Linked DNA regions of Alligator mississippiensis. The protein of the gene in region 2 purifies or fractionates together with the protein of the main gene of each other region. This does not show direct contact. Links are inferred from orthologs where the notes say so. Each region holds a gene or a part of one and is shown on either strand. Other genes may lie near its edges. The genes, in order: S100A10 and PLA2G4A.

Region 1 (16,004 bases), on a different chromosome or scaffold from region 2:
GCCAACCCAGCTGGGCATCTCGGGACCTCCAAGTGCAACGGGTCTCAGCCCAGTGAGCAGCACAAAGCCCCTGGCAGAGACCCTAAGAGCCTGGAATAAACTCCCTTGGCCCAGCCCCTCCCCAAACCCCAGCCCCAGCCCAGAGGGACAAACGATGCGGTTAGGATATAAAAAACAAAACCCCAGCTCTTTATTGGAAGGTGGCGGGGAGCGGGGAGCCTGGGATATAAGGGGAGCCGAAAGCAGGGGGAGGGAGCATGGCTCCTTCCCAGCCGCCGCAGGACAAGTGCTTGCATGTCCGGAGGGGGCCTCGATGCCCTCCATCCAGGCCTAGTACTGGCCTTCAGGGCTGGGCAGGCGGCGGCAAGAGGGACAGCTGGCATGACCCCCCTCATTTCTTCCCCTTCTGCTTCATGTGCACCACAAAGTAGTCGTTGCAGGCAATGGTGAGCCCGGCCACCAGTGAGAAGAAACTCTGGAAGCCGACTTTGCCGTCCCGGCACTGGTCCAGGTCCTTCATGATTTTATCCAAAGCCATAGGGTCCCTCTGGTTCTGTGGGGGCAACAGACAGGGGTCACAGAAGCTGACCAGGAGCCTGCCTCTCTCCACCCCGCAGCCCCCCTGGGAGGGGTTTCGCATGCTGCCCCTTGTTGTCTGGGATTCTCAGGACCTCCGGCCCCTGGGACCACATTAAGGTGGGTAACAAGGCGGCTGGCTGCTCTTTTAAAGAGACCCCCCCTCAGCAAAGCTAGAAGGATCCCCCGATTTGTTACATGGTGGGAGTAGTTTGCTAGCAATTAGCTGTTTAGCAAAAACAAAGCCCACTCCACCACGGGCTCCCTGTACCCCAAGCCCACCCTAGATCCCAGCCCTGCAGTCCTGAGGTGGTCTGGTTCTGCAATACACAGTAGTGCTGTGGTCACTTCCCAGCACAGCGGCTTTCATAGCTGCCCTCAGTGCAGGGGTGCAGGTGGGTCAGAGCAGGGCCCATCTTCACCTGGCATCCTGCCCGGAGCCCCCGCAGGCTGCTCCAGCCCTGCCCTCCCTGCCACCCCGGGTGATGCCCCTGAAGCTGCCAGCTCCTCTCTTACGCCGGGCAAGAGTGACCCAGATGTGCCCTCCTCCAGCTCAGCACCCCATTGCTGCCCTGGTTGCAATAGCGGGAGGGGGAATGACTGCGCTGGCTGCCATGGAGTCCTCAGGGCACGAAGCATGCCGAGCCCCAGCCAGCCCGTCTGCCCACCAACATAGCCCTGCTGGGCACAGCCTGCCAGCACCTACAGCCTGTCTGGCCCTGAGCAGGGGATCTGAACCCTTGTTCAGTTCCTTCCACAGCCCCAAGGCCTTTGCGGTAAAAGGCAGGGAGCAGATGCCTTTCTGCCCCACCACCCAAACTCCCAAGGCCAAGCTTCTAGGCGAGGACATTCCTGGCAGGGCTGGAGGGTGGACTGCACTGAGACTGGCTGGATGGAGCTGCACTAATTGCTCTGGGAGGGGAGCACAGCTTTGCTGAGCTGAGCTGGGTGCACGTCAGTGACCTGTAATCTAACCGGCATTCATGTGCATCCCACGCCCTGGATCCAAGCCCCCATCTGGCCCACCTCTTCTTATGCATCCCACCCACACTGTCCCATTCCTGGAGCCTTGGGAAACAGATGGAGCCCAAAACCGGCCCCCTCCATCCCTGCCCCACCTGGAAAAGCGTCCCCTAAGTAATTCCCCCAGCCTAGAGCCCCTCAAGGACAAGCGGGGCGGGTGGCGAGGGGGGCAGTAGACATGCTGGCCTCACCTCCAGGAAGCCGGGGAACTCCTTCTCCATGAGAAGCCGGAGGTCTTCTTTAGAGAGGAAGCTCTTGTCCCCCGCGTATTTGTGGAAGGTGAACATGAGGGTCTCCATGGCATGTTCCATCTGAGACGGCATCTTGGCGCTGGTCTCTGGAGCCTGTTGGGGGGCAGAGAAAGAGCATGGAGCCGTCAGCCCCAGGGTCTCAGCCCCGGTCTACCCGGATGTGTGGGTCTGAAGGCCAGAATCAACCGTGAGATTGTTGGATTGGCCCCACAGGCCTGAGACTCCCACCCGGCTCCCTGTGGCCTGAGCCTGGGGACATGCCTCCAGCTTCCACCCGAGTCCATCAAGACATGGAGCAAGTGCCAGACAATACCGGTGCAGATTTTCATGGCTCGTTACCCTCCCACAGCCAACCTTTCCAGCTCACAGGCAGCTCCCCGGGTGTCTAGACCCCTTCCCCCGACACTGCTCTGTTCCTGGCACCGGGAAGTGCTGGGCCAGAGCCAGGCAGATGCCGGGGACACACCAGGAAAGCTGGGCTGAAGGGCAGAGCAGCGTCCAACCCTCTGGCATCCTTCCCATGCCCTCCCCCAGTTCTCCAGCACTGTGCCTCTGCCAGGGATTGCAGTCAGCGTCTGGTGCCTCCAGGGTGAAAGAATCCATTGCACCGTGAAACCGTCTCAGCTCAGAGATCAAAGCAAAATCAGAGCCACGGGACGCGAAGCCAGAACAAGGATGTTCTTAGCATCAGGAGAATGCAATGTACCAGCGCCACCGACAGCTGGCCTGAGCGGTGCCTCGCATGGGGGTGGGATATAACACATGTGCGTTGGGGAGGGGCATGATCATCGCTTCTTAGAGTCAGGGAGCTTTGCTTTGCATCTACCCTGGTCCTCCTTGCTGCAGAGAAAGCCAAAGCTTTCTTGTCCTAAGGGGACGTGGAGAATGCTGGATCACCATCCTCCATCTAAAACCCCAGTACTGGGGCCCCAGGGGCACTCTGAACAAAAAGGGGGTTGTTGTAAGCCAACGGAAAAGAGAACCGATCTCTTCTTTCATGCCTAAATGCTGGAGCAAATAATGCGTCTCCTTGTCACATCTGTCCAGGATTCCTGACACGACGGCATTTGGGAGGGGGTTTTGGGGCAGGGGAAAGCCCTGATCACTCCTGAGGAACCGGTCACAGCCGAGTGACAGCAGCGTGTGGGTTGGTCTCTGAGTCAGCAGGGCTCAGAGCTAGCACAGAGGAGGAATTGCACCCCGCCACTCCCAGATGCTTCTGGTTAGAGGCACTGATTGTTGCCCAAAACAGCAGCGTGGTGTAAACCCTCTGCGAGCCCCATTCAGAGGCGAACGTCATATAACATGGTGAGCAGAGACACGCCTAACGGTCCCACCCAAGCACGGCGCAGCCAGGAATCCACCCGGGTGTGCAAATGTCTGACACACTTGATGGGCCCAAAGCAGCCCCCAAGCGGGGAATTCTGGCCTGCATGTGCATCACCAACAAAAAGACCGTATTTACCCACATACCACATGCATCTTCCTCCCCAGATTCATAGGAAGTGAGGGTTGGAAGGGACCTCAGGAGGTCATCTAGTCACCCTCCCAATCCCCCCCATTCCAAATTTGGGGTGGGTGTCTTTGGGAGGGAAGCTGATTTTTTGCCCAGCAGCATTTCTATTCAGGCAGCAATGAGGGAGTCAGTTGACTTCATGGCTCATTTGAATCTATTGGATCACACTAAAATGCAGCCACCTCTAGGGTGGAACAGGGCAGCTGTTTATTAGCTTGTGGCAACACACTAGCAAGACGTTAGAGAGCAGCCTTTCTTGCATGGACCTAACTTCTGTGTCTGGCAGCAGTTTGAGACAAGAAGTTGATGACAGCTGCTGTCGTGGGGAGATATTTGCCACGAACTCTGCTTGGCACTGGGGAGGTCTCACTCTGCTTTGCGATAGCTTGGCCCAGCCCAGCTACAGCTCTCCCTGGTCTCCAGCCCGGTTGCTGAGGGAAACGGCCCCCATTGCCCTGCCCTCTGCACTGAGACAGAAGGGACAATGGGACGCAGCCGGGCGGGGGGCAGAAAACCCAGCAGAAAGGGGAAGAAGCAGGGCAGTTTGCTTCTCCACTCTGCACCTGTGATCAGGGGCCTGCGACTGCTTGCAAAAATCCCATCTCCTGCCCCTGCATGCACTGCAGCTGAAAATGAGGTGCCCGCAGCAGGCTCTCTAGGCAAATGGCTGGCAAAGTTGTGGATGTCTCTCTCCCCAGCACGCGCCCTTCAGCCCCGGAGCCACCTCGTTGGGGGTGGAACAGGTCCCTGCCGGGCTCCACTTGCTAGGGCGCAGGGATGTTTTACAACACCAGGCCTTCATTGCAGCAATTATCTCCCGTGCATACATGCATGCGTGCCTTGAGGGGGGTTGTTCCTTTATGAAAGCATGGATCACTTGAGAGATAAGAGTGGGCAGGTAGCCAGCAGGTTACCGGGATGCCCAGATCCTCCTTGTTTTCCTGGCTCTGGGTGCTCAAGACCTACCGAATGTCAGCCTGTGGCTCCCTGCTGCTGAGAGCAGGCTATGTGAAACGAGCTGGCTGGGTCTCAGCCCCCTTCAGAATCGGGGTCTTTTTTCCCCCTTGCACAACTGCTTTCACTGGGGAGGGGGGAACTGCAGCCCCAGTCAGCAGACTGCTTCCTGCTAAAATACCATATTTATCTGGTACATATGAGGGTCCACCGACCAAGCTCTCATTCCTTCAGGACTTTGCTGAAGACCTTGCCATTTGGCGACTACTAGTCTTCACAGCCCTGCCGAGTGCTTTCAGCTCTTTCAAAATCCTAGATCTATCCCCAGAGTCCAGTCTTCAGCAGCTAGCGTTCCAGCTTTTGGCTGAGCAGCCAAGAGCTGCTGCCAGTATGGCTGTGAAAGGGTTAGAGTTGGACTTCTCCACGAGTCTAGGATTGCCCCTCGTCTCAAAGCTGAGGGTTGAGAGAAGTCCTGAGATGTGGCCGCTGTCTCTTGCATCGAGGGGGCATCCTCTGGGGTGTGGAGTAGGGCGGGCATGCGGGAGCTCACTAGGGAGAAGGTGCTGCCAGCACCGTGGAAGTTAAAATGCTCGTGTGAGGGCTGAGCTGCCAGCTCCCTCTCTGGGGAGCCAGGGACTCGGTCCAAGGCCTCCGCCCCCCTTGGCAGAGTCAGCGCCTGATGGGAAACAGATGGGCAACCCTGTCTGCAGATGCTCTGCCGACCGCGGGCAGCTGGCGGGGCCCAAGGGCATGTACGGCGTGCCCCGCCCTGGCGTGCGGCCCCGGGGGACAGCAGGGCGGGGTGTGGCGAGTGGGGAAAGCCCGCGGCGGCCAAGTGTCAGAGGCTGGACAGGCTCGGGCCAGGCGCTGACCCCAGCTGCTCTGATGCTAGTGAAGACAGGGATTAAACAGCGACAGTCCCCAAGCACACAGCTCCTCCCCGTACCTCGCCCGCCCCCGGCCGGACGCTAACTGGTTCCAGTTGTGCGGCCCGGAGCGGTGCCATCTTTGGAGGACCCAAGAGTCTAAAAATCTGGATCCCAAGCACCCCGGGGCCGGGGCGGGCTTCCGGCCTCTCCGATGTCACAGCAGGACAAACAGGCTGGGAGGCAGTCAGCGCACGGGGCGCGGACCGCGTCGTTCGCTCTGTCCGTGCCTCGCTTGTTTGCATGTCGGTCGGCCGCGTGCCCGAATATCGACGTGGGTTGGGCTCAGCTCCGAGCAGAGACAGGCCCATTCCTGGGGGTGAGGGCACTAAACCATCTTGGATCCAGTCAGCCATCTTGGGCCAGTCAGGGGCCGCCATCTTAGATCCAGTCAGCCATCTTGGGCCAGTCAGGGGCCGCCATCTTGGGCCCAGTCAGCCATCTTGGGCCAGTCAGGGGCCGCCATCTTGGGCCAGTCAGGGGCCGCCATCTTGGGCCTAGTCAGCCATCTTGGGCCAGTCAAGGGGGTGCCATCTTGGGCCTAGTCAGCCATCTTGGGCCAGTCAGGGGGTGCCATCTTGGATCCAGTCAGCCATCTTGGGCCAGTCAAGGGCCTCCATCTTGGCCCCAGTCAGCCATCTGAGACCTAGTGGGTCCAGTCAGCCCTCTTGGATCCAGTCAAAGGCTGTCACCTTGGATCCAATCAGCCATCTTAGACCAAGTCAGGGACTACCATACTGGGCCCAGTCACAGGTTGTCACCTTGGACCTCATTAGCCCAGTCAGAGATTACCACGCACCAGCCATCTTAGATGTGGTCAGACGCTGCCATCTTGGGCATATCCTCTCCGCCTCCAGCCATTGCCATTCCTTTGCAAAGGCGGATGCGAGCCCACGTGGCCCTTCACGCCGCACTCCCCAGAGGACTGGCTTCTTTCCAGGGCTGGCTCCAGCATGGCGCCCCTCCGTTGCTCTGGCCCGTGCCATCCAACTGCCCTTCCCTCCCGGAGTCTCCTCCATGGTTCGTGTGAAGGACCGGGGCTGAGCGCATGGCATCTGACCGCGCCCAAGATGGCAGCCCTCGGCCATATCCAAGCTCCCTCCTCCCCCGTCCCAGACGCCCGCCCCACCCACGACCACCCGTTCAGCCTTCTGCCGGGGTGCCGCGGGGACCCCACGCCCCGGACGTCTCGGGCCCCGCGGCCTCTCAGCCGGGCGGGATCGTTGCACACGCTCCAGGTCGGGTGGGCTGGGCAGCGCGTCCGGCTGCAAACCCCTGCCCGCCCCGACTCTGCCCGTGCCAGCCTCACCAGCCAAAGGCAAACCCCGGGACGCCACCCCTGGGGGCAGCCTGCTCCCTCTCTCCCCATGGGGCCACCCCGATGTGTCGCCTGGGGCTGCCCGCTTCTCTCTGGCCCCCTAAGAGCATTAAACACAGCGTACAGCTCCGGGCGCGGCTGGGCACCGCCAGAGACCCCATCCTCCGTAGCTGGGGGACCCTCCGGCTTGTTTGCTGACATGGGCGCTATGGGGAGAGCAAACAGGGCTGGGCTGCTCCTGGCTGGGCTCCCCGGTCGCCCCCGCCAGCGTGAGCGAGGATTTTCCAGCCGGGGCCTGGGAGGGATGAGTCAGCTACGCCAGAAGCGTCTCCTGGACCGGGTGGAGGAGGGGAGCTTTCTCCCTGACACTCACTGCCAGGGCATGGGGGGCACCGGCCAGCCTGGGAGGGGAAATGGAGACCCCTTCCCTACCTAGGCACTTGCAAATGTGTACCTCCTCCCCCACAATGTCCTCTGTGGGATTCGAACCCTGGGCACTTGCAGCAGCACGGATCTCTGCCCCCTTCAGCTGAAGGCACAGCTCCCCCTGCAGACGGCGGTCGCAGGCACTTACCCCGCAGCACCCCGGCCAGCGGGGAGGAAGGGCAACCACCAGGATTAGGTGCAAGTCGCTAAGAAGCTCCATGCCTCAGTTTCCCCATCTGCCACGAGCATAAATGTGGTAAAGATCGTGTGGTTCTCACAGGACCGGAGGGGAGGGGTAGATAAAAGCCCGTGGGAGAAAGGGGCACATTACTAGGGGACGGTTTCTCTGGATTGCCACAGGTCTGCTCCGTGCAAGATGCTGCACAAACCCAGAGCCATCCACTGTTGTGGCGGTAGGGCACGCCAGAGGCCGGGAGCCCCCCAAAAGGACGTATCAGAGGATATTAGTCTGCATGGTTAGCCTGGGCAGCGGATGGCAGAGCTAGGGAAGGAACCCAGGAGTCCTGGCCCAGCGATGGAAACTCTCGTGCACCCACAATCGATACAGAAAAAACAGAGGAGCAAAGCAGCTGCTGGGAACAGAGGCGGCCGCACCCGGGCATGGATGGAGAGAGGCCATCTCTGCAGCACCAATCGGGCCCGGATGTCGCCCACGGCCCAACTCCTTGCAGAGCTTCTCGGTGCCTCGTGGGCTGGTGCGGTGCCCTACGCCATGCCGGCTCCAACGCAGGCTCCGATCATCCCCAACTCCGGGCACCGGGGCTCTGAGCGGACACGGGATCCCGCCAAGCCCAGGCTGCAGCCACTGAGAGGACTCATGGCAGCTACAGCAGGGGGCCAGGATGCCTGGGTCCCATTCCCTCAGGAGGAGCAGGGCGAGAGAGAGCTCCCTGGGGTGGGAGCCACAGATTGTGGCAGCTGCGCTTCTATTTATATCCATGCCTCAGTTTCCCCGTGATATATAAGGGCCTGCTCTGGGGATCAAGCCCAGCCAAGCTGCCCCCAAGGGGGGCGTTATCCCAGCTCCCGGCACGGCGCTCCAGCAACCTAGTTCTTACCCAGTCCCTGGGTCAGGGATCAGCTCGACAGGCAGAGATCAGGGCAGTGGCCCTGCCACCAATGCCGCAGCAGTCTCAGACCAGCGGCGAACCAGCCCGGGCAACGCCCTTGCTCAGAGCCCACCACCAGCTGCTCCTGGCACCCACAGCGGCTGGGCTACCCGCTCCAGGAGCAAACAAATCACAGGGCAGGGCGGTGCCCGGAGCACCCTGGCAGCCTGCAGCTCCCGCACGCGCATGGCAGAGCCCGGGGTGCCACGCCCCAGCACGGCACTGCCCCGGCCCACGCCGCAGGCCACGACCTGCTGGGGCAGGGGAAGCCCCCGCGGGCGCAGAGGGGGGGCATCACTATGCCCTGCAGCTAATAGGTGGCAGTGCCCCCCCCAGTTCACAAATGCAGCAGCTGCCCCACGCCCCGCTAGGAAGTGCTTCCAGCTCCCCAAGTCTGAGCCAGGAGCGCGGCAGGTCGGTGCCCCCGTGCGGGGAGTAGCACGGGGCAGTGCCCCCATCTCCGACCTCGGGGCAGCCCCCTGCGCTGGGTGGCATTAACCCCTGTCATGCCGGGCACTGGGGCTAGTGTTAACCCCCTCCACGCCGGGCATTGCCCCCTCCCCAGCGAGCCCCGCAGGGACTCACCGGGCGGGCGGGCGGGCGAGCGGAGCGGAGCGGTGCGGGTCTGTCGGGTCGGAGCGAGCGGCGCTGGCGAGTGCGGGCGGGCGGCGGCGGGGCCGGGGGCGGCTCTACCCGGGCGGGGCGGGGCGGGGCGGGATCAAACCCCGCCCGGATCGGGATCGGGGCCACCCCCGGCCCCGGCCCGGGGATCGCGCCCTGCGCAGGCTGCGCTGATTTTTAGGCGCGCTGACAAGGGCTCAGGCAGCGGGGCCAAAGCAAGGAGGCACGGGCCTCTTCGCGCCCCCACGGCTCTCTCATCCCTGCCAGCCCGGTACGGGGAGACACGGACGGAGCAGCGCGCTTCCCGCGAGCGCACACCTGCCCTGTTTGCACACACACAATCTGCCGCGATGGGCAGCTGCGCACGTGATTCCGCCCTGGCCTTTTCTTGCTCGGGAGCCTTCCCGCGCCGCTGGCGCCCGCACCGGCTGGCCGGAGCCCAGGGCCGGCACAAGGGAGCAACCCCCGGGTCCCCGGCGGGGCGGACAGAGAACAGACCCTTTCTGTGCGGTCTCTGCCCATGCCGCCCTGGGCTGCATGATGCTGCTTGCTGCGGGAGCCTGCATTTCAGCCTCCTTTGAACCCCGGCCGAGCTGGCGCTGTGACTTGCCTCTGCCGTCAGCAGCAACCTCTGGCCCCTCTGGAGAAAAGAAGGGAACTATTGAGGCTGGAAAGGCCTCGGGGCTGGCTGCTGACCCCAGCATGCCACATCCAGCCCCCGGGCTGTTCCCACAGGGCTCTGGCGAGCTGCCTGCATCCAAGGGCTTGTAGGCATGAAGGCATTTGGAAATCCCGCAGGGCTGACGGGAAGGGCGCTTGGGAAGCTGTTCCCAGCTGGCTCTGCCCAGGGTGTAGCAGGAGCAGCTCGGACATCAGGCCCCTGCCCCAGCACCTGGCCTGGCTGGGTCCCGAGCCCCAGGGGTGAAGGATCCCAAGCAGCCTGCAGTAACTGGCTCCAGATAGGGGTCCTTCTCTTGGCTGCCATAAGGGGCTACATCCATTCACTTTCCTCTGCGACTGTGGGAGCCAGGAAGTTTCTTCTGTAAAGCTGCAACAGCTGAGATCTTCCCCTGATCATGGGACTCCAGGAGCTGCAGCTTTGGGGGACAAATGTGGAAAGCTTCCCCCAGACCAGGCCATACCACACTCGCTGCCAGTTCCTCTGTGCTGCACAGGTCTGTGGTAAGAGGAAAGGGCAGTGCTGGGACATGGGTCTGGCCTGCTCGGAGAGCCAGGAGCAGAGCCTGTTTGTCCAGGCCCATCAGCCCCTGATGCAGTGTGCTCTGGGGGTGGGACTTTGACTGTCTGTCCATCCCTCCCTCCCTCCCTCCCTCCCCATATAGCCTCTCTCTCTGTATATCCATCCCCATATATCCTATGAATCTATCTACCCATCCCCATACATCTCATCTATCTATTCCCATATAGCCCATCACTCTTTCTGTTCATCCCCACATAACTCCTCTATGTATCTACACATCCATCCATCCCCACACTTTCTTTCTCTCCCCACACACCCTCTCTATCTAGCTATCCATCCATCCCCATATGTTTCATCCATCTATTTCCACATATCCCATCCCTCTATCCATCCTACCCAGCCCCCCACATACTCCCTCTGTCTGTCTGTCCATCCATCCCCACATACCTCTCTGTCTGTCTGCCTGCCTGTGTCTCCCCATGCACCCTCTCCCTCTATTCATGTTCAAACCCAGCACACCTCAGGGTGCTGCACCAAGACATCAGCCCCTACAGTAGGTACTGGGGTATGAGAGAGGCTGGGCTCTGCCCCACGCACATCCAAACCTGCTCATTGCTATTACTGGCTTCAGCTACTTTCAGCCACTCCAGTGGCTTTCCTGGCCTGCTGGCTCGGCTCAGCGCAGGCACAGTCCTTCCCCCCTGCCCCCAGCTGCTGACCCAGGCACCTGCCTTGGCATGGAGAGGCAGTGCCTGCCAATGTGGGGTCCCCCCAGGTCTGCAGCCTTCATGCCCTTTGCTGGACTCTGTTCCTGGCTCCCTCTACAGCTCATCCTTCTGGGCCAAGCCTAGCTGGGGAGGGCTAGGGGGGGACCAAGGGAGTCATCCTCTCCAGCAGCCTCTCCCCAAACCACCCTCCCACTGACCTCAGCAGGACCTTGGGACAGCTGGATGCATCATGGGCCTCCTACCAGCTCCTAATTAGATAACAAGGCTCATTAGGGCAATTAGCTGTGGGTGCCCTGGAGCATCTGTGGTTGCCCTTGCAGGGAATCTAGTGCCAAGCCTGACGCAGCTGCAGGGGTGATATTAGCTGTGCTAATTTCATGCATAATTAAAAGATGGAAGGAGCGAGCCTGAGATTCCCTGGTTCCATCCCAGGATGTGGGGACCTGGAGCAAGCCATTCATGGGCGAGTGAGGCAGACCCCGGTGTCCCAGGGCTTCTGTGATGTTGCGGGGGCTGGAAGCATGGTGGCACCTACAGCCCTGAGGAGCCCCAATGTGCTTAGTGCTGCACACACACAATGTTGGGGGTAGTCCATGCAACTGGGGGTCACAGCCTAGCCCCTGTGAGCCTGGGGCTGCTGGATCCTTGCTCTCAGGGGACCGGGGTCCTAGCCCTGGCTGCACCATGAATTCAGGAGCCGGCCTGGGGTACAGCCCTTCCCTGCCTGAGTTTCCCCATCTTGAAGCCAGGCCTGCACTGGTTTGAAGTGGGGAGCCCTGCCTAAGAGCTAGCAGGGGGGCTCGCACTGTCTCCTGGCACCACCTGCTGTTCATCTCTGGAAGGACAATTGGATCCTGCCACCACCCCACCCAGCCACCCCCATCGCCACTGCAGGGCCTGCCCCTCCGGCCCTGTGGATACCCCTGGGCAGTGCAGGTAGTGGGGCAAGAGGTGGGTGCAGGGGTAACAGCAATGAGTCAGGATGGAGCAGCAGGAAGGCTGAGTGGGCAGGAGTGAGGGGCACCAGCAGAGCTGGGAGTGAGCAAGGGGCTGCTAAGGGGGGTTGGGTTAGTGACTGCTCTGAGCACCTCACTGCTGTATCAAGCAGTGACTCATGGTCCCTTCTCAGGCACGCACATGTATTTGCATGTGTGTGTGAGATGGCACACAGGCTTACCCTGCACACAGGCCCTAACCGGATTTCCAGGCCAGCTCAGCCCCTGCTGCTCCCCAGACAAGGGAGACCAAAGGGGCTAGACCCTGACTCAGGACCCAGCCAGCAGCAGCTCCCAGCGGGGGGTGTGTGTGTGTGTTGGGGGGGCATGTATCTCACTGCCAGACACCTGGTCTCAGGGCAGCGAAGGCACTGGGGCAGGGCAGGTCTCAAGCCTTGCATCCAGGAGAGACTGCTGTCATCTGGGCCCTGGGCAACAGGAGCAGGGAACAGAAGGGGCCAGGACATCAGTGTGAGCTGGATGAGATCATGGCCACCGTCACAGGCTCTGCCCAGTACACGCCTGGTTTGATCGATCAGCAGCCAGAGCTGTGTCAGGCCTGTGGGAGCCAGCGATGAGCAGACAGAAATGGGGGAAGAATTTGAGACCCAAGGAAAGCATTTTGCTTGGGTTTGCAGTTTATTTCTCATATATTTATGGCCACAAGCACCATGTCCCTAGCAACATGCTGGGTTCTCCCTTGGGGGCAGGTCTGGCTAGCCCCAGAGTTATCCCACAGTCCTCGGGTGCTCCGGATGGATGCAGAAGTCAGGACTGGGCCTGTGTTGTGCCCATGTGGGGCCATGTCCACGAGTCACGTCTATAGGTGGTTGGGGTGCTGGCCCCTGCCCCAGCTCGTGCACCACAGGGTGCAGCCACCCTGGGCAGCCACTGGATGGCAGCACACACATCCCCCTGTCCCCTGGGCTAGGGGTAAGCGGGGGAGCCCTGGGGGTGCCCAGCAGGTAGGAGTTGTGCCCTACTGTGCCCCCTCACGCTCCACTCCCCTGGCACTGGGGGCAGGTGGGTGTCGTGGCAGGCAGGCGTGGGCATCTCCCCCTACTTGGTACTGGAAAGGGGGGAGAGGTGGGGGCACTGCGGGCTGAACCTGTGAGCGATCCCAGGACTCTGGGCCCTCATCCCCTGGCAGTTTCTTAGCCTGGAGACCCTGGGCTGGGCAGCCCCTAGCCAGCACTGCCAAGAGCCAGGGTCCACCCATGCCCCCGTTTTAATGGCCAGCCCTGGCTGCACACAGCAATGCATCTCTCTGGCATCTCCCAGTGAAATCAGCAGCTGGGACAAGTGCCCCTGCACCCAGGGATCACTGATAGTGCCCAGCTGTTGCACGTCTGCCCAGTAAGGGTGGCAACGAGCCCCCCTGGCAGCTGGTGCCCGGGTCCCGGCGGGGCGGATACACTTGCAGGGGAATGTGGGCAGAGGTATCCCCATGGTTCCTCTTCTCTGCAGGGTGCCTTGGCTGCCTCCCGGCGATGACATGTGTGGCAATGAGGGCCGTGAGCAGGCATGCCAGCATCCCCAGCAGGATGAGTCCCTTGGCTTGGCAGTAGGAGAGCGACGTGGCCTGAATCGGGGCTGGGAGGGTGCCTGGAGAAACACATAGGATGGGGGTCAGGGCATGAGGGTGAAGAAGGTCAGTGCCTTGAGAGCACTGAGCCCGCATGCCAAGCACAACTATAGGGACCAAAGCTGCCCTCCTCCCTCAGCCCTTACATCCTCCTCCTTCCCCAAATGTACCATTTGAGCTTCCGCCCTGCCCAGGCTCTGGGGCACAGGGAGAAGGGGTCAGAGGGACAAGAAGGCTCCTGGAGGGTCCCGTGTCCGTGCCCTGGTCCTCATGGATCACATGCAGCTGAAAGCGCCACGTGGTGGGGACGAAGCTGCCGACCTCAAGGGATGTGGCGGTGTAGAGCCCTGTGTCGCTGGTCTTCAGGCTGCTAAGGATCACTGCCCCACTCCCATCGGCACAGCTCAGGCGCCCAGCATAGCATGGAGCCACCGTATACAACAGGAAGGTCTCCTCCAGTGTCACATTGGCCAGGGAGACACACTGGTCCCCCACCCACCACATGACCGCGTTGCCTCGTCTCTCCATGGGGATGTCGAGGGGGAAGAGGACTGATTCCCCCACAATCCCTGTCAGCTCCATGAGGGCATCACTCACTGCCGAGGCTCCTGCAGGAGAAAAGTGGGGGAAAGGGGTCTTCAGGGGCAGACAGGACATCCCAAGAAAGCTGCTCCCCACTTCTCAGGGGGGTTCAGTCCTTCACAACAGGAGCCCCATTTTCCATACACCTCCCCCCCAGAGCCCAGGGGCTGCTGGTCAGGGGCTCCACTTTGGACCCACCTCTGATGTGGTCAGTGCAATGACAAGGCCTCTTGGCCCTCACAATTTCCCCCTACCATCAAGGGGCCCAATGACTCTTTGTCCCATTGCGGCAGCGGTGGAGGTGGCACAGGCACCATGGAGGTGGCACAGGCAGCTCTGGGGCCCATGCCAGGTCCAGCCTTGCCTTGAAGTAAATTCAAGCTGCTTCAGAGCTTTCTGCCATGGCAGCGCTGAGCTCCTCTGCCCTGTGGATACAGAGAACAATCTCCATCCTCTTTAGGGCTGCCTTGTTTGTATACGACTGGTCTGCCGTGGTCCAGGAGACCCCTTATAGGAGCTCTGTTTTGACCAGAGGACAAATCTCCAAACTGTGGGCTCCACTGAGGTCTCATGCTGGTCTCTGATGGTTAGAGGGTTGTAGGCATCATGGCTGGGGGCAGTAACCCTGCTGCCCCTGGGCCTTCTGGAGAGCCCTACAAAAGTCTCCATTAGACCTGCTGGATCCTGAGCCTCAGTAGCTTCCCCCATCCAACCACGCATCAGGTGGAAACTCTCTCAGATACTGGCTTGAATAGTCCCCTCTCCACCTCCAGCCATATTGCCTTGGTTTTTCAAGCATGAGACCCCAAAATAAAGATCACTGGGAAGCTCCGTGATGGGCTACTCAGCACCTGGAAGCACTGGGATGAAGGGCCCTCTCCTCCAGCCCCTACCCCAGGCAGGGACATCCCAGTCTGTAGCACCCAGAGGGGTGTTTGCCCTAGGGCAGAGATCTCACCCTCTCTCCAGGGGCTGATTTCTAACCCAAACTTCATGCCCACCCTCCATCTTCCCCGGTGCCATTTCAGCACCCTGGCCTCTGCAGACATAGCAAATAATCCCCGTCCTCTTTATGGCTGTATCCACAAATCCACAAATGCCAACTCATCTCGACCCTATCTGCCAGTCCCTATCGGCCATGCTATCTAGCTCTAACCATTGGGAGTGATGGCCACTTACCTCCAGGCAGCAAAAGCAGGAGGAGGGAGAGGAGGGAAGGAAGAGCAACCCGCTTCATTCTGGCAGCACTGGACTGAGTCTGGTGGAGAAGTGCCTGGGGTTATAAGGGAACCTGGCCTGTCATCAACTCTGCAAATTCCCCTGGCTGATGTGACTCAGATGATGAGCTAACATGGCCAAAACGTGTCCTTGTGCATGGCAGAAGTGCCACGGGCTTCACAGCAGTGAGAGGGGCCAAGCTAGACCTGGGGGTGGGCAGCAGCAGAGCTGGGGGTACTGGCCCCATCACCAGACCCACCCTGAGAGCACTGTGCCAGGGCAGCACAGGGGAGGGCAGCAGCTAGCCAGGGGAGCCCTGTGCTGGCCCAGAGCTGTATGTCCATGAGCAGTGAATCACTGCAACTTCCCTCTGTCACCACCATCAGCAGGGTCCAGTGGCAGGGTGAGATCAATGCCAGGAGATGAAGTAGCATCTGACAGCCCCTGCCCCCTCCCTCCACTCCTCAGTATTTCACCATCCACTAAAATGCAGCTGTCTCTGGAGTGGAACAGTTGCTCAATAGATTAAGGGATGGGCGGCTGAAGGGACCCCAGGGAAACCACAAGGGAATTGACCTAATCATCTTACAAGGTCAGTGTCTGAGCTTTGCAGAGCAGAGCAGAGCCCCAGCTACACCCCAGGGGCAGCAAGAGACTTAAGAAGATTGATCTCTAGCTTAATAGGGGTCTGTCCTGGATCTGGGGCATTTTAACTTGGCAATTTGTGACAGGGAGTGGAGGGCTTCCTGGACAAGCCTGCAGGGAGGAATGGCAAAGGGGCTGGGAGGCAGGAGCAGAACGCAGAAGAGTCTGGATGGATCGGAGACCTGCCTGGAGCGCACAGGGAGATGGGTCAACGCAAAGTGCTATGCCCAGGGGAAAAATCCCCTACTGAGAAGCATCTCACTCAGCCATTGGTGCTGTCCCAAAAGCAACTAAGCTAATTTGGGACAG
Region 2 (16,350 bases):
TCCAGCACTTGAATGTACTTAATTATAAGCATTAAAAAAAAAGTTTAAATGTTATTAAAGTGATTAGAATTATTAATTAAAATGTATAGGCCTGAGTTGTATGTTTTGTTACTCCTCTGCTTCTCGTATTGTACAGTATCTGTAGGAGCACATAGCATATATTGAACAAGGATTCAAAATTAACCCAGCAAGAAGAGAGGTGAATGCAAATGACAATATATAGATCTGTATTTAAACAAAGCAAAACAGAACACCTAAACCTCGGGTCCTTTTCAAAACAGATGATTTTATGGTCTCAACACAGATGAGTATAAGACAATGTATCAGTGTGAGGAAATGAAGGAAAAGCAGAAGGCTTAAGTAGTCTTACATTTTTTTCCCCCATTTGTAATCATATGCAATGGCCAAAATATTTTCTTGTGATTCACTGTGTTCCATACTCTTTTGAAACATCAGCATTTGGAAAATGAAGCAACTATCATTTTCCTGGCTATTTCAGTTTTGTGACTAGTGGTTTGGGCATCAGACTGTGGGAGTCAGAGGACCTGGCTTTTATCCTTAGGTCTGCCACTAAACAGCTATGACATTAATAAAGACATGAAAAATGTATCTTAACCCTCCTATCCTTTGCTTGTTTTATTTATTGACATTATAAATTATTGCGGGGGGGAGGGCTGCCGCTCATTCTGTGTTTCTTAAAGCACCAATCACAACACCTCTGGGTGTTACTGTAATTTGAACGACAGCAACAGAAATGATTCTCTGTTAATTGAAACAATACAAAATGCAACTCCAAGGAAAATATGTTGCACTACTATGAATAATAAGAATGATATTACTAAGTCTAGTATTTTATTTTATTATTGACTTTAAATATTATTACATTCTTAAACTATCTTGACATTAAACTAGTAATATTGAAATATTATTATCAACATTATTAATATTATTAAATATAAGAGGTTTTGCAAAAAGGACAAAATCCATCACCATAGAATCACAGAATTTTCAGGACATTGATTTACTCTGCTTCAAAAATGAATAGCATGGGGTCAGAAGGTAACCTTTTGAATCAATTGTGGGAGTAATTTAGTAGTAGCAGATCAATGGTTTGCTTTGCAAATACTGAGAAGTCTGAATATTCAAGTTCATATCTTGAGTGGCCTTAGCTATTAAGATAGATGACATATATTATTAAAACATTTAGAAGTGAGGTAACAAGAACATTTTTTAAAATTCATATATTTTTTTGTTGGGCATCCTCTCACTATATGAGAGAGAGACTTCAGAACTGCTAGGTCACCTTTCCTTCTGAGTCTTGTGAACCTGAAGGAAATAAAGTTAATGTCAGTAGCTTTCAGTGGCAGATTTTTATCCTTCATAAAACAGCATCCACATTTAATTTGATTTACTGGAGTGTTTATTGGCCCATAAAAAACATGTATGTGGCCTGCAAAACTATTTCATAATAGGATCATACTAAAGTAGGGCTGGAAGGGATTGCATAAGGTCCTCTAGTCCAGCCTTGGCTCATGGCAGGATCATCCCTGAATAAATCACCCTGGTCAAATGTCTGTCTGTCTGTCTGTCTGTCTGTCTGTCCTGAAAAATTCCAGGGATGGAGATTTCACAGTTTCTCAGGGTAGCCTGTTCTAATGCTTGGCTATTAGTCAGAAAGTTTTTAACTCCTAACCTTAGAGCACTTATATATGAGCGTGGAATTCCAGCATGTTGGACCAGACTTGATTAATTGATTCTGCTGAAGCATGGCATCTTGTGTATCAGCATCCCAATGCTTAAAAATGGCAGCGAGGGGCACTTAAAACTAAAGCTCATCAAACAAGCTTTAGTTCAAGTGTCCCTGCTGCCATTTTTAAGTATGGGGATGCTGGTACATGAGATGTGGTGGCACTTTAATTAGAGTGACTCTCAGAGCCATTTTAATTAAAGTGCCAGCACCCCCCTTCCACCCCAGAGCATGTGTAAAAGTGCCCTAAATTTCCTCTGCTGAAGTTTTAGGCCATTGCTCCTCAGTTTTGTCCCCTACAGCTACAGAGAACAGTCTATCTCCATTGTCTTTATAATTGTCCTGCAAGTTTGATCTTTGATCTGCCTCTTACTTATGATATATTTGTAGAATCCCTTTTTATTGATTTATATATCCCTTGCCAGTTGCATCTCAAATCATGTCTTGAGCATCCTGATTTTTCTTGCTACATGTTTATGCGATACTCTCATACTCCTACCTAATAATATGAACATGTTTCCACTTTTTGTAGGGTTAGTAAGGATAATTTGTTTCTGTGCTAGCTTTTTCCCTGAGGTTTTTTTTTTTTTTTGAAGTCCAATGCTGCTTTCCTTCCTTCCTCCCTCCATCCCTTCCTCCAGATCTTGAACTCTATCATTTCATGATCATTGTTGGCCAAGTTACATTCCACCCTCACATTCTCAACCAATTCCTTCTGTTTGTGAGCAGCGAGTCAAGAAGATCTTCTACCATTCATACCAAAAAGTGGTCCCTGACACATTCCAAGAATTTGCTCAGCTGCCTGTGCACAGCTGGTGCTTCCTTTCCAGTAGATGATATGATCATCAAAATCCCCCACGAGAACCAGGTCTTTTAATTTAGAAACTTTTGCTAGCTGTTTAAATAAGGTCTCATCCACCTTTTTCCTCATGTTTCGTGGCTTATAACAGATGTACAGTGGGACATCTCCCCTGCTGTTCCCCCTATGATCTTTAAGCAGAAACTTTCAACTGGCCTATCTCTCACGTAGTACTACACCCCAAAACATGCATACATCTTCTTCAACATCTCCTCTTCTTTTTCTCCATCTGTCCTTTCTGGACAAGTTATACCCATCCAGTCCAGTATTGTCCAGTTTGTCCATTATTGGAAAAACACCTGGCTGGGGTCATCTGACCCCAGTACTCTTTCCTGCCCAGGGCAGGGGGTCGGACTCAATGATCTAATAGGTCCCTTCCGACCCTAAAATCTATTAAATCTATGAAATTCATGACATCGCTCCAGTCATTTAAATTATCCCACCAAGTCTCTGTAATCCCAATCCCAGTGAATAAGGTATACTTTAGATCAGGACACCATTTTCAGTGTCAAACTATAGCCTGTGGGTCAGATCCAATGACCCACAAGCAGCATGTGGGGAGTGCTGGATGATCACACATGCTGCATATGTTGCCGCTCTGCTGGCTCGGTATTGCAGTACTTCCAGGCTCAGTGCTTGTTCCCTCCTGGGAGAACAGCTGTTTGTCTTGTTAAAAGGTCCCAAAAACCAGAAAAGGTTTCTATCACCATGTTTGCTCAATGTGGACTATGTGTTTTATAGTCATTCTCAGTATTGGCTGCATTTAATCAATTTCATAGTTGGTTTTTATTACTAAGTAAGTATTGATTTTGGCAGCACTTTAATGATGGATAGTGTAAACAATGAGGTTTCTTTGCATGTGAATGTAAGATGAGGGACTTTTTTTTCTTCCAGGATGATGGGAAAATTATCTCATTTTGTATTTGAGTAAATATAGAAGATATAGCTTTTCTTCCAACAGAAACCTTTTGTTCTGGGATCTTAGTGCACTGTTCCACTTCAGGAACCTAGGATGTATACAACATAAAATGAGTTAAAACTTTTTCCAGGGACAATGCTGTGTACCTCTGTAAATTAATAGTGGCTAATTCAACTTAACTGGCAGCCATTCCAGGGAGAAACCTGTCTGCTGTATACTCTCCTTGGCCACTGAGCAGCAATACAGCTTGAAAGATCTTCTTATAAAGCATTTCCATTTTTAATATGTATGTGCCTATGCAAAAACTCACAATTTTTTAACAATCTAAAAACCAGAGAATTCTTTTAAAGTGAGTATTTAAATGCTGTCTTGAAACATAATTCATATCCATTAAGAGGTGATGCTTTAAAAAGCAATTTAAAACCAAGCTATGGGCATTTATACACATACTTTTTTCCCCTGTGATACGCCAAAGATCCACCACTTCAGAGCAGACTGATTAACTGAGTCTGCTCTGCATGGGAGCTTAGGTGAACTGCACTGTGCCGTGTTTATGTACAGTTGTATAAGTGATGAAATGCATGTTAGTGCACAGAAAATGGCGGCAGTGCGCTTTTGAAATGAAGGACCTTGAGGTGTTTTAGTTCAAAAACGCACCGCCACCATGACATGACTTTGCTACTTATATAACTACAAGCACCTCAGTGTTGGGCCCTTTACAAAGGGCCCAGTGCTGTGGCACTTACATGTGTAAAAATGCCCTGAATGCCAAAGAGTGTGTGGGCACTGCTTTGAAAAAGAGAATGAAATTCACTGCATTGAGTCGATCAATGCAGTGAAAAGACTTCATCCACTAAAAACTCATTCTAACTGAAATGCATCCAAGCAGGGGGAAAAATATGCAAATTTGTTACTCTTTAACTCTAGTAGCAGTTTTGAAGGAGTTAAGTGGAGTATGCAGAAAACCAGTGACCTGTGATGTAAATAAAAAGATGTCAAGAGAATATTTATTGTTCAATACTTTTCCAAAGGGCAAACAAAGTTGTTTACATATAGATTGTGTACCATATCTAACAGAAAAATCTTCAGAAAATTTTTTATCAAACTGAGCTCTTTCAGTCAAAATATCATAGGCACAGATTCTTTAAAATTTGCCAAATAATATTGTAAGATCCTTGAAAAGAAAGCATACTTTATCTTCTTCACTGTAATCTTCTGTAGCATTAGTACTCATCCTTTTTGGCCAGTGAGCTGGATGGCCAGTGCCCAGTCCCTCTGTGGGCTGGATCTGGATGGTGGACTTAATCCAGTTCTTGGGGTGGGTGCTACGGCCCCATTCTTACAGCATGGAGGAGAGTGGGGCACAGCTTGATCCTGATTCAACCATATGGAGGAAAGGGACTTGTCCTGGCCTCATGGTGGGGAAAAGGGAGAATGACCCTGCTCCAAACCAGCCTGGCAGGGGAGAGGGCATGGCTGGGCCGCAATGGGCAGAAGGGAGGGGGCGTAGCTGTGCAGGGGGAGGGGCATGGCCCCGCTCCAACCTGGCCAGGCAGAGGGAAGAAGACATGGCCTGTGGTGGTGGGAAGAAGGGTGTATGGCCCACACCCTAACTAGCTGCACAGAGGTAGAGGGCATGGGGTAGAGGTTCAGCTCTTCAGGGAGAAGGAGGCACAGCCTGGCCTCAAATCAACCTCATGGAGGGAAGTGGGCTTAGCTTGGACCAGATATGGCCTTGCAAGGGGAGGGGGTATGGCGCACTCTGACCTGCGACTTGAGGTTTTGGTAGCAGGGAATGGTGTCAGTATTAACTGCCACTGCTCCCTGCCACCATATTTACCGATGCATGGGGAGTCTCATGGGTCAGATTCCAAGGCTCCATACGCTGTATTTGGCTCATGGACTGGAGGTTGAGCACCCTAGTTATATTATGTGAGCTGAACCCTAAATATTTTGCACATGCCCCCCTCCCTGCTCCCCTGCTCAACTGAGGTGGCACCAGTTGCCTGTGGCAGGGAGCTTCAAGCCCCCTGCTTCAAGATGGTGATCAGGGAGCAGGGGCTGGGAGATCCTTATCCTTCCCAGCTTGTTCCCTGATAAGGATCTCCACTGTCATGACTGGGGAGCGGAGAGCTGGGAGACCCTTATCTCCCAGTGCCAGCTCCATGACTCTGGAGCCAATGCTGAGAGACCCTTATCTCCCAGCACCAGCCCCACAGTTGTGAAGCTGGTGCAGGTTGATAAGGGTCTCCCAGTACCAACCCTGTGGTCATGGAGCTGGTGCTGGGAGCTTCTTGCTGGCAGGGTCTGGGGACCCTGTTTCCCATCCAGCTTGGTGAGTGCAGAGCTGGGTGGGGAACAAACTGGGTAGGGCCTATTCATGGTCCTGGCCCCATTGCAGGCAATGGTCACATGGAGCCAAGGCAAGTAGCAGGTCAGGGGGATGGCTGGCAGGAGCTTTGGGGCAGGAGCCCCTGGCTGATGGAGCCACCACTGCACTTCAGCCCAGGCACCACTGTCCCTGCTGCTGGGTGGTGGGTGGCTGCCAGAGGGCAGGTGAGGCTAGGGCCAGAGGCAGGGCAGTGGGTCACATTAAGGTGGGTGGCACTGCTTGCCCTGGTGTCAGTGGGTGGCACAAAGGTGACAGCCAGGGCCAGAACAGTGTCCAGTACCCAGCAGAAGTGCTGCCAGTGCTTCTCCTGGTGCCTCCACATTCTTGGGGTGGGGAACGGGACCAGCCAATGCCCCCACTCCCCAGCTGGTGAGGGCCAGTCTCGGGGGGGGGGGGGAGACATGCCCCATGCCCCCCTATGCATCACCTATAACGTTCTCCATGTGCCAGGCTGCATGCACAGGTGCACAGACCTAGTAAGTCGGCTTCACAGGCCCTGGCACAGGTGGCCATCAGCCAAGCTCCCTGCCCCTACTGCTCTGCAGGGACAGGTGGGCCTTTGGGTGCTGGCTGTAGGCAGGCTGTCTTCCCTGCCCAATTTCCAAGCCAGAACAGGCCAAGCTTCTGGCAGCACCTGCTACCATGGTTCCACAGCCACTCTCCCACCCTTCTCCTGCAGGCCAGCCTCTCTCTGGTGCTGCAGCTCTTGTGTTTGGAGGGTGAGGGCTCCTGATTGACTGGGCCATGGAGTTGCTGGAACCCTCACCCTCCCCTCTCTGGAGAGGCCTCCTGGGGCCAGACCCCCCTGTACTGGCTCTGTGCCCTGAGTGTACCTCTGCTGAGAGTGTCCCAAGCATGTCACAAGGAGCTGTTTGCACTGACCAAGGGGTGCCTGACCCACGATACCCTGGTGCTGCTGATTGCCATGGTGTTCCAGGTATACCTGAGAACCTGGCATAGGACCCTGAGCTCTTATGGTACAGAAGGCAAGCCTGTGCTGCCCCACAACCTCTGCTGCCAATTGGAGGGATATCTGTGGCTGCACTACATGCCCTTGCTCCCCACAGCTGAGGATGAAATTGCTGCTGGTCTTGACTCATTCCTCCACATGAGAGGCCCATGCCTGCCTAGCTGAGGGGGCACAGGCTGCTCAATAAAGTTTTGCACTGTCTCCCACCTCCCTGTGTGCCGTGGGGAGGGACACACAGGGCCAGAGGAGTGTGTCTAGGCTGGGCAGGAAGGGGGCCCAGGGGCAGAGACAAGGGTGAGGGCAGGGTTGGGGAGGGTGGGGCTTACTAGGTGGGTGTGGCAGGCATGCCTGGCAGCCCAACTTGGTGTCTGCTAGCAGCAAGGATGTGCAGCTCCTGGCAGTGTCCTGGGGTGCAGGGGCACAGTGCCTAGCTGCCTAGGCAGAGGCCTCCTCCAGGGAGGAGCTGGAGCTGCTGAGGGCCAGCAGTGCCATGGCCAGCCTGGCCTCCTTGGTGGAGCTGCACACCCAGGACTGGCGGGGCAGGCACTGGCCTGCGCTCCCAGAGCTGCTGGATGAGGCATGGGATTGGGGAGCATGGAGGGACCAGCTCCTGGTGGCTTGAGGGGCCATACCCCAGTGATGCATAGCAAATTTGTTCCCGGTCAGGATCTGCATGTTTGTTACTGAGCAGTTACTACTTGGGAGTTCATTTGCTATTTGTCCCCTCTGTGTGGCATTGGTCAGGCTGTAGCTGGAGTACTGCATCCAGTTTTGGGTGCTGCACTTCAGGAGGGATGTAGATAACTTGGAAAGGGTTCAGAGGAGGGCCACCCGCTTGGTCAAAGGCCTACAGGAAAAACTCTACAAGGACCAATTAAGGGACCTGAATCTCTTCAGCCTCCACAAGAGACAGCTGAGAGGTGATCTTGTGGCCATCTACAAACTCAACCGGAGGGGACACCAGGAAATAGGGGATACGATGTTTACCAGTGCACCCATCAAAGTAACTAGAAACAATGGTCACAAACTGAAGAAAAGCAAATTTAGATTGAACATCAGGAAAAAATTCTTTATAGTGAGGTTTGCCAAAATATGGAATATGCTTCCAAGGGAGGTGGTGCTGTATCCTTCCTTGGAGGTATTTAAGAGGAGATTGGACAAACACCTGGCTGGGGTCATCTGACCCCAGCACTCTTTCCTGCCCCTGGCAGGAGGGGTCAGACTCGATGATCTAATAGGTCCCTTCCAACCCTAAAATCTATTAAATCTCTGAAACTCCTAAGTAGAGCAATTTACTGAGCAGTAAGCATCTGCAGATGTGGATGGTGGTGCTTACTGCTCAGTAATTTGCTGTACTGTGCAGCAAAGGATCTTGTGTAGGTGCACCTGAGGAATTTTTCAACGCATGAAAAATGCTTTTCATTGTCCTTATACAAGAGCTTCCCCCCATTATAAAGAAAAACTTTAAAAATGCCACAGTAGAAAGGAATCTTAAGACCATCTTTATATTTTCATAGATGAACAATAGAGGGCGCAATAGAAAGCAAACAAAACAAATAAATAAATAAAATAAACCCTAATGTTTTCCTATGCAGATTTCATTTAAAAATAGAACTGCCTTCTCTTCCCCCCCAAAGGCACAACTTTGAATGGAACTGTAAGTTATATAATTTAGACAGTAGGAGCTAGTGCAGTTGAATGATGATTGGGTATGTAACAACCTGCTAATTTTCCATAGGTTGGGACAAGGGTTGTTAAGGGGATGATTTGGAGGGTGACACTAGGAAGCTTACAGAAAGCTCCATTTGCTTGGGCAATTTTGCAGTACCTCTGAGGCCATGACATACCTTCTGGTTGCAAGCAGGTACGGTGCACTTAAAAATAGAAGGTCCTGCCCAAATGGAGTCCCTTTATTATTGCACAGAGCTCTGTGCACGCAACAACGCGTGGGTGCTGTGGTTTATATAATAAGATCTTACTGTAAACTATATATGCAAATCCTAAGCACGTACCTAACAATGGGAGGTTGAATGGGTTCAGAAGTCATGATATTCATATGTAAATTAGGGTAGGTGCTTTGTATTTGCTTGAAAACTTGAGCTTTAATAAGCAGAACTGCATTTTTAAAGTAATATTTCATGAAATATTTCAAAATATTTTAATGTAATATTTTAAAAACAGGCTTTGCTCTCTGCAGACTAAGTCTCCCAGGGCGGGTCTACACATTTATTAATGCACTTTAGGTAATGCATGTTAAATCTAATACCTCCATTGTGAGGTACTAGAAAAAATGTGCATTAGTCTATTTTAATGCTTAGCTAAAGAGTATGGTTTTTTGTCCTGTTTTAATGTGCATTAAAATAGGCTAATGTGCATTAAAATACACATGTAGATGTGCTCCCAAAGTCTCACATTTATTTCTCTCTCTAATTTGGCCACATGGAAAAGATATGCATACATTTCATTTTATAGTAAATGGAATAATAACATATGTCTGTCAAGTGAATGCGGATGATGAATCCAAGAGTTGTCTTTTTAATTGCAGTCATATTACAATAGCTTTTATATCCCGCTACAGAATTACATAGGTCAGAGGAGGGATTTTTTAAAATTTCATTAATCTTAGCAAAAGTATTTTTCTCTGACAAACTCCTAGGGGCAACAGGGTTGACTAAAAATATTATTTATATGGAGTTTTTGTTTTAGTCCTTAAGGTCTGTAGAGGACTTATTTTAATGGGGATGGGCCATGAACAGTAACCGTATTGTGATTAGGAATGTTCAGACATTATTGCTTATAAATTTTTCTTCTTAAGAGGTGGGGCAATATCAACACACTTCATTTAGAAAACACATTTTAAAAACCATCTTAAACATCCCTTCTTTCTATTCTGAAAGACTTCTCTTCCTGTGTTTGAGCTTCATTTATATACACACAATATATACTGTATGTATATGCATACACACACACACACTATGGCTGTGTCTATGCAAGACACTGTGCAGTAACTTGTTATTACTACGCAATAGCATCACAGGGCGCAAACAGTGATGCAACACTACTGCACAGTAAATGTCACCAGGCAACCATGACGTGACGCAACTGTGCAGTAACACCAGTTACTGGGCAGTCATTTAATACTTGGTTATGCAAATACTAAATGACTGTGCAGTAATAGCTGCGCAGTCAGCGTCTCATGATGCTGCGCCCTATACGTATGTAATTACAATACAAAAATAGGTAGGCCTGTTAATTACCAGGAAACTAAAGCCTTATTATTTACTGTTAGTATTTTTCCTGGTTGCTGAGATGTAGCTCTGAATTTTCACTTTAAACAGCTTTTCCTAGAACAAAGTTTCAAACCGTCCTATTCCAATTCAGCTAAACAGCACTAGGGGCTAATGCTACCACTTTAAGAGACAGCTATATCAGCTGACACTTAACTCCACCCATTCATGAAAGTCGAGCAATGGGGAAAAAAAAAAAAGATCCTGCTTAGAAAGCAAGAGGGATGCACAAGCCCAGAAGAATCTAATTTAGCACTGAAACTGTAAGCAATATAACTTGGACTTTGCTATTTTCTAACAGAGGCTGGTTTTAGCACTTAAAAAGTAAACTGGAAGCGGGGAGTGTGGGGGAAAGAGCTAGGACAGATCATTCTGTATTGTACTAAGGTAACGTTTGCTTACTCTGTTACTTGAAATAAGGAAGAGGAACAAGCTATCTTCTTTTTCTTGCTGCTAAAAAAAGACTTGTGCTGCTGCATTAAATAGAACTGAAATCCAGAAAGGAGTCTGCCAGATTGGGACCATGTGGGAAAAGTTTGAATCCTTCAGGTGATACTTTAATATGCCTTCACGTGATCATGCCCTGAGCCCTCTGGCTAGTAGGAGGGGAACTCTTGTCTGGGGTTTTTTCCCCTGCATTTTTGTGGCGGGATGGTTCTGCTTTTTCTTTCTTTGGAAATCATTGCTAGGGACCAACTCCCTAGCCATGGCAGACAAGAGGCTTAAGTCGCAGCTGTGCTGTAGTTACCTCTAACTGTTCCCCTGTGACTGTTACCCCTGTGCTGTTTACCACTGAATGTGTTTTGAGCCAGTAGGAACATTTTTAATGTGCCTAACTCTGGTAAGAAGAGGGATGGGGATCTCATAATTATTTGTAAAAGTGGATTTACTTCTGGTAATCACATCTCATCCTAAGTAAGTACGTATTATCCGAGTCACATACATACTGGACTGCCAAAGTGGTTGGGGAAACGGTGAAAACTGAGCTTTTTGGTCATGGGAAAGGTATCACAAGAATCAAACCAAATTAGGATGATGTGGAAACACTGGGAACTGTTCCTGATTGCCAAACATTTAGGAACAGTCTTTTTGTTCCTACATTTTATCTTCCATTTTTATTTTGTTTGCTGTGTTTTCTGTTCTGCACTGTTCATGTGTAACCAGGACAAGCTGCATGCCAAATTTAGGTCTTCTGCCTCTAGATAAAGCAACCTGTGACCCACAAAATGTATTATAAACAATAGGCTATTTTGACAGCCTGAGGTAATGGACTTTTTAATCACTTACCCAACTATTAATAAAATACTTAAAAGCATTTTAATTACAAAAGCAGACATCAGCGCTTAAGTAAAACAGTACGTTTGAACACGGTGAAGGAATCATGGGTTAATAGTTTTGGAACAATGTTTAGTCTTCTGTATGTTATCTGATAATATGTCCTGAAGGAGAAAGTGCTTGTGTGATGCATTTAACAAAAATGGCCTAAGTAGGCAACATTCCTAACAGTAAATCATAACAGAGAGGTATAAGAGTGTTAAATAAACTTTTGTCCATTATGAAATCTCATTCCTGGGGAAAAATCAACTTGCCTGTCTGTGTTGGGTACAGCCACTAGTGTCTGCTCCCTCAAAGGTTATTGTTAATTCCATTTCTAAGTGGCTTGCTTGTGCTTAGTAATTGTTTAAACTATCATTTATGAAGCAATCTATTGTGAAATGTATAGAAAAGTAAGATGTTAAAACTATTGAGCAACATACCTTCTGTAGTGGAAGTCTTTTGCCTCTGTGAAAGTGTCTACTCATTTAGTCACTGGTGATTTATGCTGGTCATCTAATAGTAAGTGCAGATTAGAATTGAGGTCAGAAAATTTTACGTAACAGTTTTTCACTCTGTTTTCTGTTGCTTGTGTGCTTGTATTGGTGATATATTACCTTTTCCAGGCTTCCTAGGACTGTTGGAAGTTGTTTTATTTGAAAAGTTTTAGACAAGTCATTTTGACTGTTTGAGCTCTGAAATGTGAATCCTTCTTCCTCACAGGCTTTTTGTGTGTGACAGCATAAAAAATTAGTGGAGTCTGAAAGTGGGTCTGGGCATAATTCAGTTCCAGATTATGACATGCTGAGACCTTAAACTATGTCCAGTTTAAGAGGCCCCATACGATAAAAATAAGCCACGAAATCCACGAAAATGGATTTTCATTAAATTTTAAGATGCATTATTGTTATTTTAGTACACATTTATGAACTCAATATGAATAACTGTGGAGCCATATCTGTGTATACTAGCCAATTGCCCATCATAAATGATGGATTTCACAGAAGTGTTTACATGGCCGGCCCTGAAGGGTGGCCCTGCCCCTGCCCATTCTGTAGCCCCTCACCGGCAAGCCACAGCCCCTCAACCCTGCTGGTGCCCCTCACTCCCAACCCACAGCCCCTTGGCACTGCCCGTACCCTGCATTCCCAACTCGCAGTCCCCCACCCCTGTGCCCCTCACTCCTGACCTGCAGCCCCTGAGCCCTGCCGGAGGGCCCCAGTTGTGCCTGCCTTACCCAGGCCAAAGTGTGGTGGCTCCAATTACTGTAGGTGGTGGCGGAGTGTGTCTGGCCCTGGCACGGGCTGAGAGAAGAGGAGGAGAGGCTTGTGGTACCCCTGCCCTTGGATAGGGCTGCAGTGCCCTGTGGGCAGCCTGGCCAGGGACCCTCTCTCCTTTCCCCCCCACTCCCCAGGCAGCGGCTGCTCAGCCCCTCGGAGCACAGGCACTGGCACCTATGCTGCCCCCGCTGTTCCCCTGCCCCTTTCCCCCACTGGAGAACAGGCAACCCTCCCCGCTTGCCCTGTCACAGCTGCAGCCCCCGCTCCCCCTGCCTGGACCAAATGTCCAGGATTTTGCTGTGCTCCAGGGGTAGGAGGGAGGAGGCGATCAGAGGCAGCAGGGCGCTCATGCAAATTTTTTTTTTCTGTCTCTGTGGAGGTGGGGTGAGGGGAGCACACACATCGGAGGCTGCAGGACAAGGTGGCACTGGCGGTAGAGCTCCCATTTTAATTCAGCTGGCCCTGCCTGGCCTGCATAGCCAATTGGCGCATACACAATTGGGCAAAAGTATTATGGACGGACAGACAGACAGCCTAAGGCTTTTACTATATGAGAATTTTTGTCATATTAGAATGAAAATGTCCAGTTTTTTTTCTTATTTAGAGACCACTTATATTGCAAGGCCCTAAGGATGTAACTTAAGTAGCTTAAGCCTAAATCTGGCACTGGCATAGTTTTTAGTAGAGAATAAGCTGGTTCAGACAAAACTGTAACACCTGAAATTTCAGGGAATATGTTATAGGGAAAGAGTGTCTGTCATACTGAAAGTTAATGGTTAATTAGGTGCTTGACAGTGTCTTTGAAATCTCCCTGATAAATTGTCTTTCATGTGGTATGGCAGAGCTATCTTTTTCTGCATGCTTGAAAGACCTTCCTTTTTATTCCCATCCTTCTTTCTTTAAGAGTTCCATTTAGTACTAACAATTTTCCATAGTAAAATTCAACCTGAACTTCCCTATTTTAGCTGAAAATACTGGCTCCTCTATACCTATTCTTCCAACTGCAGTGTCATTTTAGCTTTTTTACCAGGCATTCAACAGATGTTTGAACAGAGAAATGCAGTTAGGTTTTTTGTGGGTTTTTTTTTTAAATAACTTGCCTTTTGACTGACTGATATAATATTACATTGACAGCATCATGGTTTGCTTTTAACATCATATATATGTAATATTTCTATATTTTAGCATATTGTATCTTCAGTGTACATCAGCAAAAGTCAATTAGTTATGCATAATTGACTTCTTTGATGTGCGATGAAGATGCAACATTTTAAAATATAGGAGGTCAAATGCAAAAATTCCCTATGCTATTCCTATATTAAAGTTGTTATATAGTTAAACAACCCAATGTTAGTATTAAATGTTGTTCTCTTGGACATATGCCTGTACATACAAGCCCTGATTGTCAGCTGTATCTTCCGAAAACTGAACTCAACAGGAAAAGAGCAACACCATGGCATGTTCTACATTATGGTGGCTTGGAACAATCGCCTTCCTGGTCACCAGCTCAAAAATAGCTGGATTGTGAAGAGTCATCTGTTTCTACTCAGACCATACTTCTTTCTGCATATACATACTCTCAATAAGGGATTGTTTTGGGGGTGAAATAGGGCCCTACTACTGGCCTAAACTTCCTGGGGAACCCTTTATTCCCATAGTATTCCTTATGGGCCTAGGAGGAGGCTTTGTGGGTCTTTCTGGAGAGCATCGCCTTCTCTCTGCATGGTATCCCCAGAAGCACCAAAGAGTTGAAAGTCCAGTTGCAATGTAATAACAGCTTTCCAGCTGCACATAACCAGGTGGGTAGTTTCATGGCCAGTCAGGAATAAACTTGAATTGACTTCACAGTTTTTCCAATTTTGAGATGCGTGTGCAAATTGGAAAAGGATGGGGACAGATGGTTCGAGTGGTTGCAGTTCCTGTTGTCTTTGAAAATGTTTGAGAGTCCAAGTTAAATTCAATAGATAGTTGTGGCTGGGGAAAGAGGAAATGGGGACATCCCTCTTCTATCCAATAGCTCAGAGGTAAAAGAATTGATTTACGATTTGGAAGTTCATTTTTATCTTTTACACCAGGGGATTTGAACCTGTATATCTCACCTGCAAGGAGTATGCCCTAGCCATTGCATTCTAGGGAATTTGGGGCAAGGAGGCAGATCTCAGTCTCTCTTGTTCACTTATTCTTGCTTTATATGGAATGAATATGCATTCACTAGAATAGGGGCTGGAATCCAGGCGTTTCATCTTTTAGGTGAGTGCTCTACCCTTCAGGCCAGAGACCCTTCTCTTTTTCTGATTGTTTATTTTATACCAAGTAAAATAGCCAAAAAGGAGAAATTAAGTGAGATAGATCTCCAGCATCCTGTGGGTTGGGACACCGACTTTTGCATAAGGCAGCATAACCCACCTTCAAAGGAGGAGATGAACTCTACCTATTATGTATTTTCTGTCTCTTATTAATACAGTCTTACTATTTTTTACCAGCCCAGAAGACAAATTCCAAAACCTAGCTCAGTAACTGGAATGAGTTCACCATTGCCCAAGGTTATAATAATTTGCTGTGGTAACAGAGTGGTTTCAGTAAAACACTCATATATTCAGGGCAGTGGTATTCAAATTTTCCTGAAGGCTTGCATTTGCTATTTATCTCAGAGGAAGGATATGAATTTCCTGGCTGTACCAATCTCCAGTAATCTGTTGCAGTCTTGGAAATCAGTGACAGAAATAAAAAGGAGTGAAGCAGTTGCAACCTTTATCTCCCCGCCCCCCCCTCCCCCCCCCCCAACAATACTGTTCGGAGTAACACCATTTTTGCAGATTTTTGCAGTGATGGGGAGAAGAGTAATATTGATACACTTCTTTGTTCTACATTGTGACTTAGTGTCCTGCAGCACAGTACAGAATTTAACAATTTATTATTTGCTCCCCTATAATTAGGCAGGGCAGGATCCAATATTTTAATCAATAAATACTGATAAACATTGATTATAGCTGTATCTCACAGACCTTGAAATGAATAGATAAGGGACTTAAAAAAACCCAAACACCTGGGTTGGGGATGAGGAAATCTGGAGCTGGAGGTACTGCACACGTGCACACATGTGTGCACATGGTGCTCCCTGCAGGCAGGGTTGGGAGAGCCCTGACAGTGGCTCAGTCAGATGCTGAAGAAGCTGGGGCTGTACTGATAGGGTTATGTTGGGATGGAGAGATGGAGGGGCAGGGCTCTTGGCAGCCGAGAACCTGGTGCTGACAGCTGCTTGCGCAGCTCAGGTCCCAGCTGGGGACTGGGCACCAAACTCCTGGTAAGCCTGGGCTAGCCCATGCACGATCAGGGTTCACCAGGAATTTGGCCCCTGGCCTGATCATGCAGGGGCCAGGCTGGGCAGGAGCTCTGGGAACGTGGGGAGAGGCAGCGGTTGCTCATCCCAGGGAAGGAAGTGGCCAGAAACTGGTTTATAGCCATGACCAAACACAAATGCACAGCTGCATACTGCTCCAAAAATGGATGATTGGGTAAAAATCTGAACCCTTGTTGCATGAGGAGTCAGATGAAGACATTTCAATACAGAGCATCTTCTGT

Evidence for each region.
Region 1: the proteins of PLA2G4A (region 2) and S100A10 purify together in Homo sapiens (affinity purification with western blotting; 3 studies listed by BioGRID). This does not show direct contact. The link is inferred for Alligator mississippiensis from reciprocal best matches to the Homo sapiens genes PLA2G4A and S100A10.

Annotation. Positions count from the first base shown.
Region 1 is NC_081838.1:19,413,197-19,429,200, reverse strand, and holds S100A10 (protein S100-A10), read right to left. Parts: upstream 8,805-16,004; 5' UTR 8,706-8,804; intron 8,178-8,705; exon of another isoform or gene 8,070-8,177; intron 2,291-8,069; exon of another isoform or gene 2,205-2,290; intron 1,944-2,204; 5' UTR 1,923-1,943; coding exon 1,791-1,922; intron 554-1,790; coding exon 392-553; 3' UTR 169-391; downstream 1-168. UniProt on the Homo sapiens protein: Because S100A10 induces the dimerization of ANXA2/p36, it may function as a regulator of protein phosphorylation in that the ANXA2 monomer is the preferred target (in vitro) of tyrosine-specific kinase.
Region 2 is NC_081828.1:56,657,254-56,673,603, forward strand, and holds the start of PLA2G4A (cytosolic phospholipase A2), read left to right. Parts: upstream 1-10,332; 5' UTR 10,333-10,437; intron 10,438-16,350. UniProt on the Homo sapiens protein: Has primarily calcium-dependent phospholipase and lysophospholipase activities, with a major role in membrane lipid remodeling and biosynthesis of lipid mediators of the inflammatory response.